Schizosaccharomyces pombe: one gene and its partners. Changing the gene in region 1 together with any one later gene gives a genetic interaction. Each region holds a gene or a part of one and is shown in the gene's direction. Other genes may lie near its edges. The genes, in order: set3, wdr7, png2 and ssu72.

Region 1 (6,487 bases):
TAGTATATTTTATTTGTAATGATAACAAGGTCTCGTGGCCCAATGGTTAAGGCGCTTGACTACGGATCAAGAGATTCCAGGTTCGACTCCTGGCGGGATCGTTTTTTCAAAAGCTCAAATATCGTGAATACTGTAAAATACCTTTTAAGATCGTGCGTCTATGTATCCTATTGCAATCCAGTAAACTGCATATGCATAGAGGGATTGTGTTTTTAAAAGCAATTAACCTCGGTAATATTATGTATTTATTTTTTTTGGCGTAGACACGCCTTTGATAAAGAAGCGATATGAGTTAACAAAAATTGAAGATAAAATTTATTATTAATAGGTTCCTAAGATTGCGTCCGAGACCATTCACTCGAAACTTCACCGAGATGGTATTTCATTAAATAACGCAACCTAACGATATATCATAAATTAGATAAGGCATATTTGGAATTCGCAAAACGCAGCTTAAGTAGAAGCTCGCATCTCAAATATGTGCGTTGTAGGGAGCGCGAATTTTTACCTGCTCTTAGCCAACTTGAACATACAAGGACGGGAAAGAATTTAGGGGGAATATGAGGTTTGTAGAGCTAAATGCCTTCAAAGTATTTATTACTAACGGAAATTTAGGGTACATACTTGCTATTTCTGCTCGGGTCCTGTTTACCCAGGACATGGAATAATGTTTGTTAGAAATGACTCCAAGGTCTTTCGTTTCTGTCGCAGCAAGTGCCATAAGAACTTCAAAATGAAGCGCAATCCTCGTAAGGTATGTTTTTTTTATAATAAAGGAATGCAAAAACGTTATACAGACTTGGTTGAGGAAGATGATTGATTTTGAAAGAGGAAAAATTTTTTTCTGTTGCCTTGTTTTGAAATGATACTTTTCTTCTTCAAATTCTACCTTAAATGGTGTACTTTTTCCTTTATATGCCCATGAACGAAGAAAGTTTTCTATTGTTTTTTTAAATGTTTTGCTTCCACCTATATGTATGTATACTAACTTCAATGTCTAGGTTGCTTGGACCAAAGCGTACCGTAAGGCACATGGAAAGGAAATGGTTTATGACACAGCTCTCGCAGTTACCGCAGCTCGTAGAAATGTTCCTGTTCGTTACGACCGTAATGTCATTGCAACTACTTTGAATGCCATGAAACGGGTTAGCCAAGTTCATGCCAAGAGAGAGCGTCTGTTTTACAAAAAGAGATTGGCTGGCAAACGTGCCCAAGAGCTTCAAGAAGCTCAAAAACTCATTGCTCAAAATGTTCCTCAATTTACCGAACCCGAAGGTGAGGTTGAAACTGCTGAGGTACAAGAACCCCAAATTGTTTCCGACGAGGAGTATACCATGGAAGAAGAAGTTGCAGAACCTGTCAAGATTCCCGTCCTCGCCAAAAAACGCAAAAACAAGAAATCTCGAAACTCATCTTCAGCCATGCAAATGGACTAAACACTCTTCTTCCTACAAAAATGTAACTCTCGATCTTCCGTTGGTTGCGTCCCGCTTCGTTCTTTTATTTTATTTTATTTTATTGTTTTATTCCTTTCAAATTTACAAAATAGTAGAAGAGAAGACATTTTTGGGGAGTGGTTTTCTTACACTTTCGAACTCTTTAGACACTTCGAAAACGTGTTTTTTAAAATTTATCTTGCATATCTAAAGTTGGCATTTGGTTTCGGCTTCTCTTCTCGTTTGGTTACTTCTTTGGACTTGCATGCTACGTGCAGATTAATATGGTTAATAATGGATTTTCGTGTATACATACTTGTAAACGAACCTATCTTCAGTTTGGAGCTTGTACAAGATACAACAGTCTAACAGTTTGAAAAATGGTTGTTTAGGAATAAATTGGTTTATATTATTAGTTTCGTTTATCACAAATGCCTCTTCGAAATGTAAAATTCTACTAGAACGATAGAACATTGCTTCATTATTTGGATTCAATTCTCCATGAGGTATATTTAGTAAGTCATAAAACAGTAAAGACTTTGTCATTTATGCTGGTTTCCTTGCATATACATTTCTCTATAGTTGACAAGCCTATTCAAGTCTCATATCACTGTGGAACTCATGAAAACAGATCCCTCTCCTTGTAAAGCTGTTTAAACCCTACAGTCCAATGCTAAAGGTTGTTAATTCTTTAGAGTTGCGAGTCCGTTATTGACGTTTTCGATTGCTTGCGCACACTCACTAACACCATACATTAGCTAACTACTGACACATTGCACCTGCCGTTTATCTCAACTCATTGTCTTAGTAGATGATTTTTTTTTTTCAAAATGGTTTCTTAGCAAGACTCATTAAAAACTCCTTGACAGTTTTATTACCTTCTAAAATATGTAAAATGAGAAGTTTCATAGAGAAATGAACTATTCTTCAACATCTTCTTCTCTTTGTTTTTACCGAGGAGACGTTAGACTGCGGAAACGTGGTTTATGGGACGTGTGTTTACACTCGGTGGATGGAAATGTTGAAGAGCGGAATAATCGCGACGTCGTATCAACTACCAAAATCGCGTATGCAAATTGAAAACAGAGTATTTGTTCAACTTACATGGTTTTTCGAGTATTTATATACTAGATTCCTAGTTTTAGGAGAGTTCAGATAATCGAGATAGCCATTGGTATAGTTGGGGCTAAAATCTTTGCTTTCATAAGAAAGCAGTAATTTCCAAGGTTAAATTGCTCCTGTACAGAAATTAGCGTTTATGAAATACTTCTTTACTTTGTTATAAGTTGATCGTTTTCTCTTTGGTTAAGTTAGCATGTGGAAAATACGATGCGTTTGTCCATTCGAGGATGATGACGGATTCACCATCCAATGCGAAAGTTGCGAGGTATGGCAACACGCCGTTTGTGTAAACATAGATGCAAATAATGTTCCTGAAAAATATTTTTGTGAACAATGCCAACCTCGTCCTATCGATGCCGACAAGGCGCATAAAATTCAACTAGCTAGGTTACAGCGCGAAGAAGAGCAGTCTAGGATATTATCGCGATCCCGTTCTTCCAACAACAAGAGAAGAACTAGTTTTGGCAAAAATGGTGCTAGTCCTACACACTCTGCGTCACCGAGACAAGGCAATAACACAGGCGCTAATGGCGCTTTATTTTCACAGTCTACCAACTCTTCGAACTCGGGGTCTTATCGTAACAGTGTGACTGGTGCAACATTGCCCAATGCTCATGCTCCACATTCTCAGAATCGCAGACGAAGATCCAACCACCTTAACAACCCACCAGAGGCTCCAATCACCGAGGCTTCTAACGAATATGTGTATTCGTTTCACTTGGAATACGTCCCTTTGGAATCAAACACCTTTTCTGCATCTGCGCTTGAGTATTCTAAGAATTTGGATTTAAAGAATTTAGATGAATCCGAAGTTTTAATGGATGGATGCCAAGTCGTACCTATATCATCTTCAAAGTTTTGTTGTAGTCGCTTTGGTTTGGTGTCAACTTGCGAAATTCCTCCAAATACACCCATTATGGAGGTGAAAGGAAGGGTTTGTACGCAGAATGAATACAAAAGTGATCCCAAAAACCAGTACAATATTTTGGGGGCTCCTAAGCCACATGTCTTTTTTGACTCAAATTCTCAGCTTGTTGTTGACTCACGGGTTGCTGGTTCAAAAGCGAGGTTTGCGCGTAAAGGTTGTCAGTCAAACTCCGTCGTTTCAAGTGTTTACATGAATGGGTCTAACAGTGTTCCTCGATTTATCCTCTATTCAACTACTCACATAGCTCCGGAAACAGAGATTATTGGGGATTGGACTCTCGATATTTCCCATCCATTTCGCCAGTTTGCGCCTGGTATGTCGCGACCCTCCTTCAATATGGAAGAGTTGGAATTACTTTCAGAAGTGCTTTCTACCTTCCTGTCGTTTAACGAATGTGCCTCACAGGATAAGAAAAACTGTGTTTTTTCCAGAGTTACTAAATATATTAAAGCGGCCCGCCGCGCTTCTACTGCAAACCGTGTCAGTGTAGCAAAAGACCGTTTGTCTCTGACACCTTCCTCAACCCCTTCTACCCCTAGCCCTGCTGAATCATTACCGCAACCTTCAAACCCCACATCGGTCTATGCCAAATCCTTGAAAGAGTTTTGGTTAGATAAGTACCGTCTTAGTATTTTGCAAAAATGGCCTGCTGTTAAGTCATTACCCACAGAAAGTGTAGGAATCGATGTAGTCATGGAGCCGAAGTTACAGCCATCTGTGAAGGAGAAAAAACCAACTAAAGATTTACAATCTCCACTACCCTCTGTTGAGGAAGATTCCTCTAATAGGGACAAGAAAACTGATATTGCTGATTTACACACTGATTCTAAGGTGGGCATTGCAGACGTCTTATCGCCCATTTCACCCGATGCTGCATTACAATCCGATGGTCCATTGAAAAAAGCAAAGGAACCTGAAGAATCCTCGATAACCCCTACAACTCCTCCATCTTTTAATGTTGGAGAATCACTAAGTAGGCGATCAGCCTCACCATTACAACATCCTCGAACAAGCCCAGATATGCTGGACAAAACTTCTCCTTGCAAAAGAGGATTAGGAACTATTACGACAGTCCACAAAAAGCATGGTTCTGTTGATCATTTGCCGTCAGTTAAAAGACGCCGTAGCATTGCAAATGATTTTCATGGCAAACCTGATTATAATAAAAGATCGCTATCTATCGAAAGGAAGCCGGAAGCCTTTAAGACTAAAGGTGACAGACCACATAAGGTCCATCCTTCTTTCCATAGAAATTCAGATTCAAAATTGAAACTCGAGCCGTCGAGTAAAGAAAAGAGTGGGTCCATGTTTTTTAATACGTTAAGGACTGTAAAAGATAAATCGCATGTTCACGACACTCAAAGGTCTTCTGACGTTAACTTTTCTAGACAGAATGGCACTCGATCCCATTCACCTTCGGTTAGTCCTGTCGGGTTTTCGTTTGATAAATCTCCTGTAACTACGCCTCCTTTGCCGACAGCTCCAGCACCAGTTATAACGAGTCGCCATGCTTTGGTAAACAACCAATTTCCTACGAACAATCCAAACATTTTGGACCACAAAGCCAACAACGGTGATGATATCTCGAATGCGTTAAATACTTCAAGAAGCGAAAACAAGCCCAATTCGAATCTGGTCCAAGGAAGTGTAGTCAAGCCTAGTAACACTTCAGCCTCTGCTCTTCCTACCTCAGCACCGAAGAAGCTATCTCTTTCTGAGTATCGACAACGACGTCAACAAAACATTCTGCATCAACAGTCGAAGGATAATCAAGCACATGGCGATACAGCTAGGCCTCACACCGTTCCTGCTGCTACAGTTTCTAACCCTTCATTTACGCGATAAAAATTCTAGAAGATGTTGTAAATCTTGAAACCATATAAATGTGTGGATGATTTTTTTTATTGGATATGGTATACGAACAAGTTTTCACGATTCTAAAGTTGGTACGATGACTGCATCTTTTTACCTTCATATGTATTTTCATTTCATTTTTTTATTATGATGATTGGTACTCGGAGCATATTTTACTGTCACCTGCTTCTGCATTCTTTTCTTCTTCGTTTGTAAATATTTAATGACTAAGTGTTTGGGCGAAAACTCTAGTTCCTTTTTTTTTTTTTAGTTTCTTTTGATTCAGAGCAACGAACCCTCAGTCGTTGCATTTTTCTGTTCCTAATTTGCACGTTTAGAACATTGTACAATATAATAATATTAATTTATAGCAGTTAAATGATTTATGTTTGTCATATAGAAGTTTCGGTTCGTAAGATTATAAGAACTAACTATTTAAGATGTCAGCTATTTCCGTATGCGACATGTACTAGATTAAATAACTTTTTGGATACGCAAATGAAGCTAGTACATTTTGAGTATTAAGTATCATAAATATAAACATCGATTCAAATATGCTACGTGCAGATTTCAGCGAATTGTCGCATCAAATTAAACTATTCATCGACGATCCACTCAGATCTTGTATATATCAAACGGCCTACGTTAATATAGCTTGTCTACTTATAGCGACTCTGAAAGTGCGCCGTTAGATTATTGTGGTATAGAACCGGGAGGTTAGGTACCATTCCTCTCTCTCCATGAACCTACTTTTTTAAGCGAAACGCAAACAAAAGTAAACAATTACCAATGAACATTTCACGTTCATCAGGTCTGATGAGACAGTTCCTGCTTCAGCCCTTACGGAAAGGCTGCGACATTTCTTGCCTTGGAAGGTCAAGTTGGAGAATGAGCAGGAGCTTCTCTGGATCGAGTGTTTTAAATGAAATTAATTTGTCACGGACTAAGAATTTATTTTTGAATGATTGTAAGTTTAATAAAAATTCATTTGAAAAGTTTTTTGCTCGCCGGCTGAGTAACTCAGTCGCTCCTACACCAGGTGGCATCCTACAGGAAACCGAAAAAATTCCGAGTAAAAAGGTCGCCTTTTGGCTGCTTGGATCTTCTGCTCTTGTTCTTGCAATTGTTGTTGTAGGTGGCATTACTA
Region 2 (7,063 bases), on another chromosome or scaffold:
CATACACTTCCATAAACTGTGCACGGGCAGCCGAAAGTTTTTGAAGATAATGTTCAGGACTATGATTTACGCAAAACTCATTGTAGCTAGCTCCATAACGAAAATGAAGACCGGCGGATAAAGTCAGGTCAGCCTGGCAAGCAGTAGCTAATTGAGAAAGAACACCTTCTCTTCCAATGGGATGATGCGTAATAAAAATACGTGCCTCCTCTCTGTCAAGCAGGCTCTTAGCGGTTTCTATTAGTTCACCCATTTGAAGGATTGTAGTCCACATAGTACCCTGGCCACCAGCAATAGTTCCTTTACCGTCTCCATTGTCAAAAAGCTTAAAAGGGACATAAGGACCTCCAAGACCAAGTAAACGGATTTTCATATCTCCAATTTGCAATAGGTAGGAATGAAGTTCGTCCACTATGTTAAGGTTTGGAATAGAATATTCTCCAGAACGAAATTTTTCCAAAACGTGCACATCTTCGCAAGCTCCCCATACTACATATACAGGGACTGAGAATTTCTTCTCTTGTGACAAAAATTGAGGTAATTCTGAAAGCAGGCAATCGGGGTGAGAAGCAATACTATTCTTCAAATCCCCAATTGGATTCGAGGGATAATAATCAAAGTTTTTGGACCTAGGAAGCTTTTTTATGAGAGGCGAGAATTGGACAATGTGACGAAGAGTACTGAAAAAAGGTTAGAACAAAGAAAAATGAAACATAAAAATTTTTGACACAAAACATACCGTTCAGATATGCTAGGAAGTGAGGATCGCTCAAAAAATCCAAAGTCACCAGTGTGGATGACACAGGAGGCATTGGTTTCCTCAACCAGGCTATTTATTAAACTCAGTTCACCTGAAGGGATAGTTATTAGTAAAAACGCGTATTAAAGAGTAGTAATTTTAAGGATAGGAATAGCTAAGGAGAATAAAGTGTATGGACAAAATTCTTTTACGAACCAACGAGGATCTTTAATGACAAAATGAGTAAATTGAGCAATTGCGCTTCAACTCCTGCTAAGCCATTATGGATAAGTTCATGCAAAAGCATACAAATTCGCATCTTCTTATCTTAAAAAGTAAAACGATCGTCGATAATTCCCCCGATGGGGTGCTTTTGAATTCTCGCTGGCAGCTCTAAATCCATAAACAACGCATACTTACCTCGAACATCGGCAATACATAAGATCCTGGATTTATTATCCAATGTGAGTACTTGAGCTGAAACATCCAACGTGGAATTATTCTCGGAATCTGAGTACGTTTTAGAGGATTTATTTTCCAGCGTCCCAGTTGAAGGTTCCGCTTGAATATCACTTTTAGCCGTCTTTTATGTAATTAGTTTAAAATTTTTGCAAAGATTCATTAGATCTATACTTACATCCACGCTCATTATATCGTAAAAATCTAATGAAACGGATAAAACAGTAAATGGTGTTGAGTAAGGGTTTTGTGATGATGCCTCAGTTTCGGCACTGTACTACTTCCTACTACAATAAGAGAATGTTGCTTCGTAATGTTATAACTTAGATCCACCACAAACGAAGTAAAGTAAATTAAATATATAAATACACAAAAAGCAGCAGTTAATAGATAGTTTTTGAAATTTTTAACGTGACAATTGTATTTCTGTAGTATAAAACTCCACAAAAAATAAAAATAAAAATAAAATTTAGTATATATTAATATATATATTTATATATAAATATGAAAAAAAAAGGTGCTTCAATGAAGGATTACAAAATTCTTGAGAAAGCTCGGTAATCGGGACGGCAGAGTTTATTAGGGTATATGTTAAATGTTGCAGCTTTGGAATGGAATTGTTAACTTATTTTACACATACTATGACTTAAGTTTGCCTCGTGTACAGTAGATGATGCTACAGTCTGAAGTATATTTCAATTTCGTTATATCGTTTTTCCAGGTTGAGATTTGAATACTAGTTGCAGTGCGAAATTTACAACATTTGAAGTATGTAAATGTTCTGTTTATTTGGCAAATTGAATAAAATAAGACTGTTAGCAATTTTTTCGGTTTTTTTCTATGTACAACAATACTCTTTTGTGTTATTAAATAATGCTCGTTTACTATAACTTAAACTCGTTTGTACGCTGTATTCTTACTACTAAGTATTGTCAAGATTTGGAAGCAAGGGCATCGCCCCATCAACTAGGTCATATAGTATTCGCGTGCTTCAAGTAGCACAGCAGCACATTCCCACCACCGAGTGGAATTCGAAGTTGTGTGCAGTGGTATAAATTTTGGAGAAGTGTAAGTTGTATATAATTCAAGAATGAAGAGATTTATGTAATGATTGATACAATCGGAGCTGTCGATGCATACATTCTATTAAATGACGGATGGACGAATTGTTTACATGGCTATTTGTTAGACATTCTTGTCTATGGCTGTTGCAAGTTCTTCATTTTTCTTAGATTCTCTTCCTCAAATACTTGTTGCATCTTGTTTATTCGTTTGCGTTCCGAATTTGCTAATTTTACATTCAAGAATATCGCGGCAACTGTTAGTCTGCCTAAATATTGTTTTAATTTCATTTTCTGCGTTTTCAATTACTTTTATATTTAAAAAGGTTTAACAATTACTGAATTGAGTGGTTATTTGGGAAGCCGTGTTCGAACAGCGTTCAAAATTGATGTCAGCCTTAGACCGTTGTTGATTGCGAATCAAAATGGATTGGGTTGCATTGTCGAAAAGCTGTAAAACTCATTTGTTAGATGAAGGCCTTGACGTGTCTTCAATACATTGTTTTGATCAGTATTTGATAGTAGGCCAATGTTCCGGCCAAGTCATGGTATTTGACGTTTCTACAGACAATCATTTCACTTTGATCCAAACATTTATAGCACACAAACATTCCGTTTCTTCTATAGTTTGCCTTCCATTTGAAGCTGATGGAATTGTAGACCTATCAATCATTACACTCGACGAATCTGGGTATGTTGAGCAACTCTCATTAGCCGAGCAGCAATTATCAAATTCATTATTTAACTTATTTCTTGCTAACATTTTCTCAGATTACTTTGTCAATGGCTACTGAAAACATGTGACCGACGAGCTACTTTGCAATTGTGTGACGGGCTATGTTTAAAGCTATTTAGATTAAATAACAACTTTCTTGCTGTTACCGGAACCTTTTTGAAAATATATCTCATTAGAATCTCCAACTTTCAGATAGTTGCGACTTGGACTGGTCATGAGGACTGGCCTATTTTGTTTCCGTTCAAAGACGAAGCTTTATTAATCCCTGTCGCCTATTCAGATGGATCTGTATCTCTTTGGTCAGTTGATTGGTCAGCTCTTACTTTTAAAAGAAATTCAGTTACAAAAGCAGATGTTAAACCAACTTTTGGTAAGGTTATTGATGTTGTACCAGCAGATTGCATTTCTTCCAATTATGCGCTATATGTATACTCGGATGCGGTAGTACTATTGGAATCGCATGAGAAATTTATAGCTTCATATTCACTTGCAGAGATAACATCTGTATTTGTTTTGGCTGATGGCACGGCTTGTATTTTTACTCTTTCGTCTTCAACTTTACTCAAACTTCATCAATCTCCTGAACCTCATTTCGAATTAATTTCTAAGTATTCTGGAGATTTTCCATGGAAATCGTGCACCATTTTAAAAAGTAAACCCGTTAGTTTGTGTGTTTATCCCGAAAAAATAACTTTCAATTGGTTAACAGAAGGAACCGTAGACTCATGCAATCTTTGTAAGTTGAGCAATACAGCTGCTGTTTCCTACGCTTATACGGACTCTCTTAATTTATTCCTTGGAACAACCTCTGGTTTAGTGATGTTTTCTTTGTTTGACTGGTACCTTCACAATGATCCAGCTCCTCTTTACTCTTTTACAAGGGTTTCTGGAATTGTAACATATATGAAAATATTTGAAACTGAACATTCACGCTCAATTTTAGTTGTTGCTACCAAAACTGGAAAGGCTTACTTTTATCAACAACTTCAGGGTGAAAGATGGAGATTTCTCTGCGAGCGTGCTTTGCAATCTTCTTCAATTACTAAAATTATTCATGCAAAGAAATCATTATCTTCTGGTTCATCAGGCTTATTTATTTTTATGAGTTTAGATGGCTCATTGTGTGCCTTGGATGAATCTTATAATCTGTAAGTTATCAGTGTGTTATCAGTTATTAATCGACTTTTATAGTCTAAGCTACTTGCCATCTGATGGTGCTCAAGTTGAAACTTTGTACTCATTTCCCGATTTAGATCAAATCTATGTTGCTTATGACAATTTTCAACTATTAAATTGGGACGTTGTGGATCAAAAATGTTCTGAAGGAAATTATTCAGATATTATTGACTCTTCGTTCATATCTATTGGTACTTTTGATAAATCTAACCTCCCTACTTTGTATCATGGTTCTTGTGCTTTACTCACCGATAATTTGGTTACTGTTTTTTTAGACGCTCATGATTTAGTACTGAACCTCAATTTTTCTAATGAAAATTACATAGAAAAAACGTATATTGACGAGTTCCTTGACTTTATCCAACCTCCTTTCCTAAACTCTGATATAGAGATGGAGCATCAGTTGTTAGGTACTGTTTTTGATCAATCCAGTTTGCATCTTGGTGTGGGTAAGCCAGATGGAAATGCCATACTTCGATTTGACACCGAAATGAAGTCAATAATAAATACTGCACCAAATTGTTCCGCTTTGCTGTTATATCTATATTTTTCTCTAATGGTTCCTTTATGTAAATATGATGGGCTGAGCGATACCAAATTGACTGAAGGAATATTATTAAAGTTAAAAGACCTGAAAACGGTTGATTACAGTATTTCCGTTCTTTCATACGTCTGGAATAATTCAGGCAAGGTTATGCAGGGTATAATTAAATCAATGTTGTCGAGAACATTGGAACTTATATCTCCAGAGGAACTTCAGAGGCTTATATATTATTATTTTGAGTTTTTTACGACTACAGGTGGAGAGTACTATCTGAAAAAGGAGGTGCAACATTCACTGTACATCTTGTCATTAATTGTCAGTTTACGGCCTTCAGCATTTGATGTTTCACAATTGAAATTTTTGTCTTCCTATTTATTACAAAAATCCGAAAGTATGGACTATGACTTAACAGCAATTCGCCTGTTGAGTAATGGTTTTTCCGTGTTTTCAAAACATATTGATCCTGCAAAGTTTATATACAACCTGGTTTTGTCATCCTTAGAGAATACTAAGGATTTGGATGATAAAAATAGCATTCTCTATAGATCAATAGTGGATGTCTCAGTTTCGAATGCTGTTTTACTGCTTACATGTTTATGCGATGAAGTTTATGAGCAAATGAAATCAAATTTACGTTCCGTTATACTAAAAGTTGTGTCTTTGGCAATTGAAAACACACAATCCGAATTTTCTTTATTTAATCAATTGATCACGGAAAAATTACTTCCAATCCTTTACTCTAGCCGCTCGGTTGAAGAAGTTCACGACGTTACTAACGCAATTGCAACCCAATTTCCATTTGCATGTTTTGATAGTAAGGTGGAAAAATATTCCTACATTGACGATGGTGATCTTGTGGTTTATGAAATAGCTAAAAGAAGGAAAGTCGTCAGCAAGGAAAACGCCGAATGTGATATTCAGGTATTGTCCGCCAGTCCTTCTGGTGACTATTTTGTTGGAGTCAGTGCTACGCAAAAGGAATGCATTATTTGGAAATACAGCCAAGATTTCGTAAAATTCTTGAACTTATCAACACCTTCATTAACGATCCGAAAACGTATATTATTACAAACTAACAAAACGAATGAGGTTGAAATTCCTGAAGTCCTATGGATTAGCCAGTCATCAGCAGAAGTCCATATTGGGAGCACCTTTGCTATCATTGACTTGTAGGTGGATTATGAATAAATTTTATCCATGCCACTAAATAGACGAGCCAATTTTTGTATTGGAAGTGGGAAAAACCTCAGTAGAGGCATAAAACGTGCGTAAAATGGATAGTAAAAACGACCCGATTTGTTTGTATATAAGTTTTGAATAATAATTTTTGCTAAGTTTTGAGGTTCTAGTAGAGGGGCTAATACTCTGTTTGGGGTATCTTTTTCGAACATTGTAGATTTAATTTGCCCTAAAACATAAAGAGAAAACTTGAAGTTGGGATGCTGTGATAAAACCTCTTCCTCTAATGTTTCATGTAGCGAAACTAGTGCCGCTTTTGAAGATGAATAGGCACCTGTTAATCACGTTAGAAAGGAAAAGCAAATTTTATAAAATCAACCCCACTTACCGACTCCCATCGCACTAAAATAAGCCAAGGAGGATGCTATGTTGACCACATGAGGATTTGGATCTTGTAAAAGGAGAGGAAATAATGCAGATGTAATTGCCAGCTGTCCGATCACATTTGTTTCAAAGCATCTAAATTAAGCAGTTAGAAAATAAGGCTTACTACGCTTAACCTGTACTTACTTTTGTAATTCTTGTCTTGATATAGACAGCAAATGATTTTTTGGAGCAATAGCTGCAGCATTGATCAGAGCAAAAGGGGTCCTGTTCATCTTTTTCAAAGAATGGACACATCCTTCTACGTCCTTATCTTTGGTAATATTACATTTCAAAGCACTAAATTTAGAATTGTACTGTAGAAAAGATGCAGGCTCAGTACTGTCCAAAGAGGCGACGCTGAAGCCTCTATCCAACGCCTCTTGAATAATAGCATGACCAAGAATCCCACTTCCTCCTGTTATCACAATCAGTCCTTTAGCACATGAATAGGATTGTTTCCTGAAAAGTAGAGGAAACCAAGAAAGGGTTAAGGCAGCACAAACAAGCGAAATCACCAATAATAATATATGATTCAACATCAGGGAATGACTTCTGTGAAAAATATGATAAGTTGCTGAATGGAAACTTGGCAGAAAGTCGTTAACATTAGCAGCGAACTCTTTTGTGTTTCGAATAAGTTAACGTCCAAGTTCTGATCGTCTAAAGACCCTAATATCGTATTTGACGAAGTCAAGGAGAGAACCTTAGTAGATGCTGCCAAACAAAAGCTATTTCCTAGTGTA
Region 3 (4,662 bases), on another chromosome or scaffold:
TAAAGTTAGGTTGATCCAGTTTGCACAAGTTTGTATGGCCAATCATCAATTTTAGCAGCCACTATCCATTCACGAAGGGCTTCATGTAGCTTCTTATGGAATTTTTGACTAGATTTGTAAGTGCCTGCTTATATAAATATTGAAAAAAATTGCTTACCTGCTCTTTCGAAACCGTAACCCCATGATTCTTTCTAATCCACTTAGCTGGAGTTCCAAACGTTTTCTTTGACGTTTCTCTAAAGGTAAGCCTTCGAGTAATTCATTAATAAGATGGATGTGAGCTGCAACATAGCTGGTGGCTTCGGTTTCTATACCACCAATAAACCCCAATGGAGCCTCGTACACTTGATTATATTGTTTCTCCAAATCAATGACATTAGAATCGTGGTTCCACACCCAGAAGACATTACGGCTAACATCTTCAAGTTCGATAATCCAACGGCGAAAAGGTCGATCAACTCGAACGTTTTTTAAGAATTCAACCTCTTCATCCTTATCGTCTTTAATAGAAAACAAGGAAAAAACTTGCATTGCACCTTCTTCTTTGTCGAGATGAGCTTTGTAAAAGGAGTGAACTATTTGAACGAGTACTTCCCTTACGACAAAATCACATGGCTGTTTCTTTGAAAGCAAAAGGGAAATCAATCGCTCGACATTATAAGTGGATTGAGATAAACATTCCAATCCGCGCTAGGAAAAACGTTAGCAATTGTCAAAGGCAATGAAGACATAGGTCTAAATGTATATCACATGCATACCTGAACAGTGCACATGGCTTTAACGCAAAGTAAAAGTTGCTCCAGTATAGAATCGTGCAGTTCCTCTCTCCATTCAAGGCGAGAGATTTTGTCGATTGTACAAAATACTACACCGAAACCGCCGTTGTGTATAAACTTCTCTACCCATCTGTATTGCAGTTAGTATGAAAAACCTCAAAATAAACGAATGATTTATCATTCAATCAAAACAATAGTAGTGCCAAAAAAAAAGATAATTTAAGCATCACCACTTTGATTCACGTAGCTGCACAAAATGTAAACATACATTACTTGCTCGTTTCTGAGAAGTAGAGCTAATTTGTGTATGATAGATTCATCGATTGAGTCAATTTTTGTATTTACAATATACGAAATAAAGTCGTCAGGTTGCTCGTAACATGGTTTTTTACGCATCCAAGCAATTAATTTATTTCGCTTTTTCTGGTCTTTTTGCTGTAAACTGGACACGATTTCCATTTTAATTCCTTCATTAAGGGAAAGTAAACTCTTTGAGGCCTCTGAAGAAAGAACTTGAGGCTTGATTAAATCTTCAAAACATTGTGGCATTTCATCTTCAGAAGGGGTTGAAGGAGTCTGAAAGCTCAAGCTATCCTCTCGATCAGAAGAATTAACGCTTTCAGAGAGCCCATCAGAGCTCAAAGAGCGAGCACCTAAAAGCCGTTTTACTGAACGTAGAGAATTCATAATGTGTGTAAGGAATAGTCGTGTGGTATATTTACATAGAAATGGGAGGGCTGGTATATATTAAAATGGCACGCTGACGCGTCCGAGGAACAAGCCACAGGAACATGAAACGGACAATATCGGGAATTAATTCAATAATTAGGCTAATACGCGGAACGGTTGTTCCAATTTTTAATATGTACAATACTAAGCTATGGCCCTAGACTTAGGGAAGGAAAATAGCACATGAATGTTCGAAAAAAAAAAAGAGAAAGCTTCCGTTATTTAATAAACCATACTATTTACGCCTATCATTATTTTCATTAATAGCTATACATAGTAAATCCAACTTGCAAAATTTTGAGATTACGCGTGTTGAGTTAATGTTTGATATTGGTATATACACTATCGTATGTAAGTCAAATGAGAAGAATGGAAAAATAAGAATGTATTGAGCTTTAAGATATAGTAAATCTCGGTCTATTTTGGGTAAGAATTTTAATATGTACTTCTCAATTATCTGGAATTCACTGAAGGTTGTGAAAAGGAAAAATATTTCGGACATCCAAAATTTGCTATTATAATGAAGGTGCAACTAACTGAGTAGTAGAACCGATATCTAAAATAAATTGATTATTTGGAAATGTATGGTTAAACAAGAAGGCTCATATTACCTGAACTAACATAATGTCGTTAAAAATTACAGTTCAAAGCAGTGCTGAAATTATACTAGAATTCTGGTACATTAAAACGCGTCGCTTATAATAGAATCACTTCTTTCTATCAATAGATTAAACATACAATTTTGCTATTTCACGTAGGGATGTAGTAAAGTGAGAGAAGTAGGTGGGACATACATTTCCTACTCAGCACAACGTAACGTGCTTAGTGTCAATATCATGGGGACGAGTGGAATTGAAATATTTGCAGCTTTAAATGATTTCACAGATGGTAAGAGGCGAAAATAAACACATTGATTAACATTTTACAGCCATTGTTTCAGTCCCTGAATCAGTATGTGGAAAATTCACGAGTTTGAAAGAGATCGATGCACAAGTACGAGGTAAGTGAAATATATATTTTTAAAACGTGTGGTTAACAAAATCTTAGATATCCGTCAAAATGTCATACAGGAAATTGGTGTGGTTCTAAAAAACGAGAAAAATGACGAATTGTCAGGAGAAGAAAGATGTGAGCGATTACAAAAGACACTAAAAGAGATACTTCCATATTCTGATTCAAAGATTTGTTTGGCCACAGACGCAATGAATAATATCAAGAGTTGTATCGACCGTTTGGATGCTGGGTTTGAATATGTTGAATTGGAGATTCCCCAACAATTGAGATTGGGATATCCAGACGATCGAGCTTTAATGAATTATCATTCTACTGTGACTCCTCAAACTTCTGAAAGGAGACGGGAAACCCGTCGGCATCAAAATAACCAGCATTCCCAGCAATATTCCTCTCAGGAACGGTCGTCTTCATATAACAACTTTGAAGACGCTTCATCGCCGCAATCTTCTTATCACACCCCTACAAAGCGTCGAAAAAATGCTGTTCCTAGAAAATCATCATCACCTCCATTATCGAGTACAAAGCATGCGCCGCAATCTACGGAGAGGCGACCAGTGCGGAGATCAGAATCTCGTTTAAAACAGACAAATGGGGAACCACTTGTCAAACACGACACATTAGATTCAAGTGATATCAGCCGTGAAGGTGAGCAACTTTACTGTTACTGTCAACAAGTTTCCTATGGACAAATGATTGGATGTGATAACGAAAATTGTAAAAGAGAATGGTTCCATTTACCTTGCGTTGGTCTAGTAGAACCACCGAAGGGGATCTGGTATTGTAAAGAATGTGAAGAGTTAGCAAAATCATCTGAAAGTCGTCAATGAGCCGGGATCCTTTTTATTTTCTTTCACCTTCTTTTTATTGTTAATTTCTCAGTGTTTGACATCGTTATGAAACATCCATTACCACTGCTTGCATTGCTCTTGTTTACTGAATCAATTAAACTAACGACAACATTTCTATACCTCATAAAACCCTTATAACGATTTTTATGGTTTCGTTAAAGGATACAACCATCAGCTACGTATCTCGGTATACTATTTAATGATATGTAAAACTACGGTGTGTTTTGTTTGCAATCTACAAAAAGCGGATGCAATATGTATGAGTAAGTAATATTATAATTATTTTTATTAGAAATTTGTTAGTAACTAGTCATTGAAGTAAGGAAGCAATTTTAGGCGCAAACTTTATTAAATTTTTTCTTTGAATTTGTTTTGTTAGCTTACATACTTGTTAATAAATGGAAATTCCTTCATGCATGTTTCAAAAGCGAATTTAAATAGTATTCAAAGTAATGACAAATAGTGATACACAACATAGTGTATCATAGCTTAGTGCATTATTACTGACACACATCTATAGCAAATATATCTCTCTCGTTATTTTTTTAAGGATACCTCCTTGCATTACGTCTAAATGCTTTTACTAATGGATTTTCCAACTTATCGTTTCCCTCCTTCTCATCTAAAGTAATTCTTAAAATTGGGATTTTCTTGAATTTTAAATACTGTTTTTATTTGTGTTACAAAAAAGTTAATTAACAGTTTCTTGTCCAAATCTCGTTGAATTTTTGATCATCTGATAATGAAGTACCAATTTAACGTTGCTATGGCTTGTGATGGCTGCAAAAATGCCATCGATCGCGTTTTAACTCGTCTGGGTGCGTTTTAAAAAAAGTCATTTTTTAAGTATTTAGATTTACATTTATATAAGTATTTGTTATATATGGTTTTTCAGGAATTTTGTTGATGAATCTGTGTACTAATTAAGTAATGTCGAGTAGGTGTTGAAGACAAATCCATTTCGGTCGAAAAACAAGAGGTTATCGTTACCACAGACAAACCATATGAGCTCGTAGAACAAACGATTAAAAAAACTGGAAAGGAAGTTCGCAGCGGTAAAGTCCTAGAGTAGAGCATGGCAAAAATTACGACTTTAATCATATCTGATCGGTTCTCTCAAAAATATGCTCTTGACTTTTTTGTTGTCGCCTTATTGTTAAGATTTATATATACGACTAGACGAGGCTATTTGTTTTGTAGGATACAGCGTACTGCTTGAGCCTTTGGTGTTATTTTCCTCCAATAAATTGTGATAAACTTATAGACGTTTTCCGGTTCATTTCAATTGTCTTGGT
Region 4 (4,027 bases), 1.9 Mb from region 1:
TATCTTTGATTTACTGACCTTGTAGATATGGTCCTTGCTACTGTGAAGAAGGGTAAACCCGACTTGCGTAAGAAGATCATGCCTGCTATTGTTGTTCGCCAGCGTAAGGCTTGGCGCCGCAAGGATGGTGTCTATCTTTACTTTGAGGACAATGCCGGTGTTATTGTCAACCCTAAGGGTGAAATGAAGGGTTCTGCAATCACTGGTCCCGTTGCTAAGGAGTGTGCTGACCTTTGGCCTCGTATTGCCTCTAATGCCGGTACTGTAGTTTAAATTCATTTATTGAATAATATTTTGGGATTACGAGACAATGTCAACAAAATCTAAGGGTTAATTCTTGCTGTTAGAATCTTGAAAAGTAGTAATTGCAATCAGAATTATTTTGACTTATAGTTTATCATGGCGTAGCCGTAAACGTGTTTGGATAAGTAAAGATTTGAAATGTTTGACTGTCTAAATACTTTGACACGACTTTACAAATATAAGTGAGCAAGTACTAACTAACTGTATTTTAGCAAGTCTCTATTTCACTGCTATACATGCAAATTACTTCTGGTGCTTGTCCAGTGAATCTGTAACCAATATTAAGTTATGTGGTCAATTTTAGTTGGTGTTTACTCATCATAACTTTTTCCCTAAATGCAACATAAAATAGTGAAAGCGGAAAGTATTAGACCCCTTTTTCATTGAACTCTTACTGTTACTCGTTGGACATGAAGCGTATGTATTTACTACTTTGCACTTCAAGATGGTCTAATTTGGCGAATGGTGTAAATAATGAAAGCGCAGAATAAATAACTGCTAATGTACAAAATGTTTCCACAATGGTTTGTCATAATCGTTTGACACGAAAGCAAAGAAAATTGCGCTGTGATTAAGTCTACTCAGTTAGCTCAAGAGATCAAAAGAAATAACAGTTTTGTCAGTGTTAGTGGTTTTAATTATGATAACCGTAACAGCTTTGACATTCTTCATAGCAGACGAATAATTGAGACTATTTGATCACAATAACTAAATTAAAGCTCTATTTTGAAGCGAAAGAGAAAAAGAAATATAGACTGCTTACCGTTTATTAAGCCTGAATTGCGCGATCAGTTAACTGAAACATATGGTATATTAAAAAGGAGAAGTCTGTTTGGCGTAAAGTCCAGCGAACGAGAAAAGCTTTAGAAAAGGGGAACGAAATCACTAGATTAGGATTATACCGTGACGCTGCAAGATCATCGTCTACTTATGGGAAGAGCCGATTTGCCAGTTAGCACGTATGGTTTTTCTGACGGATTCTTTGTATATAAAACATGTGAATATGTTTCTTTTGATATAGAAATAGCATCTACGTCTTTTACTTATTGGATATGGTTTGCATGCATTATAGCAACGTAGTCCTTCTTTGCATAATATGATGTGCCTTTACATTTTCTTTTTTTTTTCTTATTTACTGACTATATTTAAGGCAAGTCACTAACTGTTTCGATTCGCAAAATTAATGAGTACTGTTGAATGTCATATTTCACTTTAAGAAGCTTACTGAGTGAACCTGATTTTTGTATTTTCTACTAACGAAAAACTGCATTAACCACACAGTAACTTTATAGCTTTTCAAGACAAAATTACATACACCGATTTTATTTAGGCTGGTCATATATTTTTCAGTATCCGCGATATCTTCAACTAAGCTAATCATTATTGTCGTAAACGTTTTACACACGATCAGACAAAATTAAAAGGTAGCTAGGGTTTTGTCTACAGTGGTACTAATTCAATAACTGAAGTTGTATCCTTTGGACAAATGCCTAAAGTCATCATTTCGCGTTGAATTAAAATTGGTTAAGTTATGCAAAATATATACTAAATCGAATTTATTGAAACAGTCACAAAGATTGAAGACCTACCCTATATAATACTCAAAACTTGGAAATCTTAAGCGATAAATGAAATGAAAGAGTATGGTATGTACGAAACTACTCTAAGTAGATCAGCTCAAAACTTAATGCTTCATACGCCAGTTTGTATGTTTGAACTTTATTCATTTTGAGATTAACAGCCAAGAATTGTTGATTGATCCAACCGCAAATTTTGTTTGACAATACAATGATTTCTCACTAATTTTATACGGCTTTTTAAAGTGCTGGCGATGAGTAGTTTTATTATTAATATTATAATAAGGAGTTTTTGAATTAGGCATAATTTTGTAAAGTTAACAATCATTAATGTAGTATGGGTAGTGGAGTATAGACGTATTTATTCAAACCCTATCTTTGAAAAATTGCTATCAGACGAATACAACGTGGAGAATTTTTATTTTTATAAAACATTTAAGATAATTAATTAAAGTAGAAATTATACTCTGCAAAGATGAGATTCATTTCAAGAGCCTCTGCTTTTGTGATGCAACATATCGATATATCGCATCGTAAAGCAGCGTGGTAATTTTGAAAGGCTGTTGCTTACAGCGTGTCATATTGTATACACTGCAAAGAACGAGTTTGGACCTTTGGCTGTATGTCTAATTTAGTAAGATAAAAATCTTGCAATAATAAAGAAAGGAAAGTAAAACCTTTTAAAGCCTTACCAACGTTAGTCAGTAAACAATAATACCAAATAATGGCTCCCAAAACCAACCTCCAGATCAGTGTAATTTGTGCTTCGAACCAAAATCGAAGTATGGAAGCTCACAACGTCTTAAAGTATGTCATTTTTGAATTTTATGAGGTAGTTTGCTAATCTCCATTGAAGGAATGCTGGATACCAAGTTGATTCGTTCGGAACAGGTTCAGCTGTACGGTTGCCGGGTCCCAGTATTGACAAACCTAACATTTATCAATTTGGGTATCCATATGATGAAATTTATAAAGAGCTCGAGGCCCAGGATTCCCGGCTATACACGGCCAATGGATTGCTTAAAATGCTTGACCGAAATCGCCGTATAAAGCGCGCTCCTTGTCGGTGGCAGGACCAAGATTCCATATACAACATTGTAATAACCTGCGAAGAAAGATGTTATGATGCCATTTGTGAGGATCTGTATCGTCGAGGTGAAACATTGAATCGACCTGTGTACTTAATAAACGTTGACATTAAAGATAACCATGAGGAGGCCAGCGTAGGTGGAAAGGCCATTCTCGATTTAGTCAACAAATTAACCGAGGCACAGGATAAATTGGAAGAGCTGTTCCCTTCTATAATGGCCGACTTTCAATCTAACCATCCTAAACTTCCTGTATTGTATACTATTCATTTTTTTTAATATCATTTATCGTTACACGTCGTTATCGAATTTAATAAAGCATGTCCTTTCTCCTAGTATATCTACAACGTTCTAAGTAATAAACACAGTAAATTGGCAAGGACGCAAAGCTGTCAGTAATATTTTTAGATAGAAGATTTCTCTTCGCACTCGTTTGCCTGTTAATGTGTTTGGCAGTACATTAGGCATTTTAAAGACTTTTTCTTTAAAAATTTAATTCACAGAAAAATTATATCAAATTAATTTAGGGTCCAGCACGTCCTTGCCCATTGTATTAGTACAACTGCCTTAAGTTAATTTACACAGTCTATCTTTTTCAAGTCAGCGTAAAAGAAAGGACATATCATTTAATTCCCTGAAAAAGATAGAAAGCTCATTTTTTCCAACTTCTTTCCTCAAATCCCTAGTCTTAAATTTGCTTTCAAACTATGCAAAGTATTATTATTCGTCAATATCGGTTTTTAGCTCGTTACTTAGAGCCTGAATTTGTTAAAGGTATGTTAAAAATTGGTTTAAAATTAAGCTGTACAATTGCTTTGACCCACGGAAACAATGTAATCACCTCTAACGCTATTTTATAGACCCAGCCCTAAGGAACGCCAATGCGAGGCCACGTGAAAAGCTTCAGCGTTTGTCTCATATTCAGTTCAGTGAACTTTTAACAGACGTTGCTGATGAACTACAGCGTAGGATCAACAATGATCCCAAAGGTATTTTGATTTACACTCTTATGAGTCTACAATTCTAACCCCTTATAGTCAGATTCTTACCTCCTGTTGA

What was found.
Region 2: mutations in set3 (region 1) and wdr7 together harm fitness more than expected from each alone (negative genetic interaction), as found in Schizosaccharomyces pombe (2 studies listed by BioGRID).
Region 3: mutations in set3 (region 1) and png2 together harm fitness more than expected from each alone (negative genetic interaction), as found in Schizosaccharomyces pombe (2 studies listed by BioGRID).
Region 4: mutations in set3 (region 1) and ssu72 together harm fitness more than expected from each alone (negative genetic interaction), as found in Schizosaccharomyces pombe (3 studies listed by BioGRID, with this or other methods).

The regions. Positions count from the first base shown.
Region 1 is NC_003424.3:5,038,746-5,045,232, reverse strand, and holds set3 (putative histone H3 lysine methyltransferase Set3), read left to right. Parts: upstream 1-2,488; 5' UTR 2,489-2,751; coding exon 2,752-5,331; 3' UTR 5,332-5,687; downstream 5,688-6,487. Other genes in the region: ribosome biogenesis protein rlp24, read left to right, coding at 561-565, 616-754, 1,002-1,436; etp1 (monooxygenase-ferredoxin fusion protein), read left to right, coding at 6,130-6,487. UniProt on the Schizosaccharomyces pombe protein: Transcriptional regulator that acts via the formation of large multiprotein complexes that modify and/or remodel the chromatin. Required for both gene activation and repression.
Region 2 is NC_003423.3:2,268,398-2,275,460, reverse strand, and holds wdr7 (WDR7-like protein), read left to right. Parts: upstream 1-2,208; 5' UTR 2,209-2,266; intron 2,267-2,503; 5' UTR 2,504-2,684; coding exon 2,685-2,950; intron 2,951-3,030; coding exon 3,031-4,143; exon of another isoform or gene 4,144-4,186; coding exon 4,187-5,888; 3' UTR 5,889-5,893; downstream 5,894-7,063. Other genes in the region: SPOM_SPBC16H5.12C (uncharacterized protein), read right to left, coding at 1-680, 740-851, 1,160-1,322, 1,377-1,388; SPOM_SPBC16H5.14C (DHRS family dehydrogenase), read right to left, coding at 5,894-6,228, 6,283-6,413, 6,465-6,859.
Region 3 is NC_003423.3:1,119,629-1,124,290, reverse strand, and holds png2 (chromatin modification family protein Png2), read left to right. Parts: upstream 1-2,329; 5' UTR 2,330-2,341; coding exon 2,342-2,393; exon of another isoform or gene 2,394-2,433; coding exon 2,434-2,505; exon of another isoform or gene 2,506-2,552; coding exon 2,553-3,346; 3' UTR 3,347-3,630; intron 3,631-3,686; 3' UTR 3,687-3,709; downstream 3,710-4,662. Other genes in the region: GTPase-binding protein Rid1, read right to left, coding at 6-108, 158-690, 759-906, 1,045-1,463; Cu chaperone Atx1, read left to right, coding at 4,110-4,185, 4,309-4,439.
Region 4 is NC_003424.3:3,175,708-3,179,734, reverse strand, and holds ssu72 (RNA polymerase II CTD phosphatase Ssu72), read left to right. Parts: upstream 1-2,473; 5' UTR 2,474-2,604; coding exon 2,605-2,687; exon of another isoform or gene 2,688-2,736; coding exon 2,737-3,247; 3' UTR 3,248-3,308; downstream 3,309-4,027. Other genes in the region: rpl2301 (60S ribosomal protein L23), read left to right, coding at 26-273; spa2 (GTPase-activating protein), read left to right, coding at 3,676-3,742, 3,829-3,957, 4,006-4,027. UniProt on the Schizosaccharomyces pombe protein: Processively dephosphorylates Ser-5 of the heptad repeats YSPTSPS in the C-terminal domain of the largest RNA polymerase II subunit (rpb1).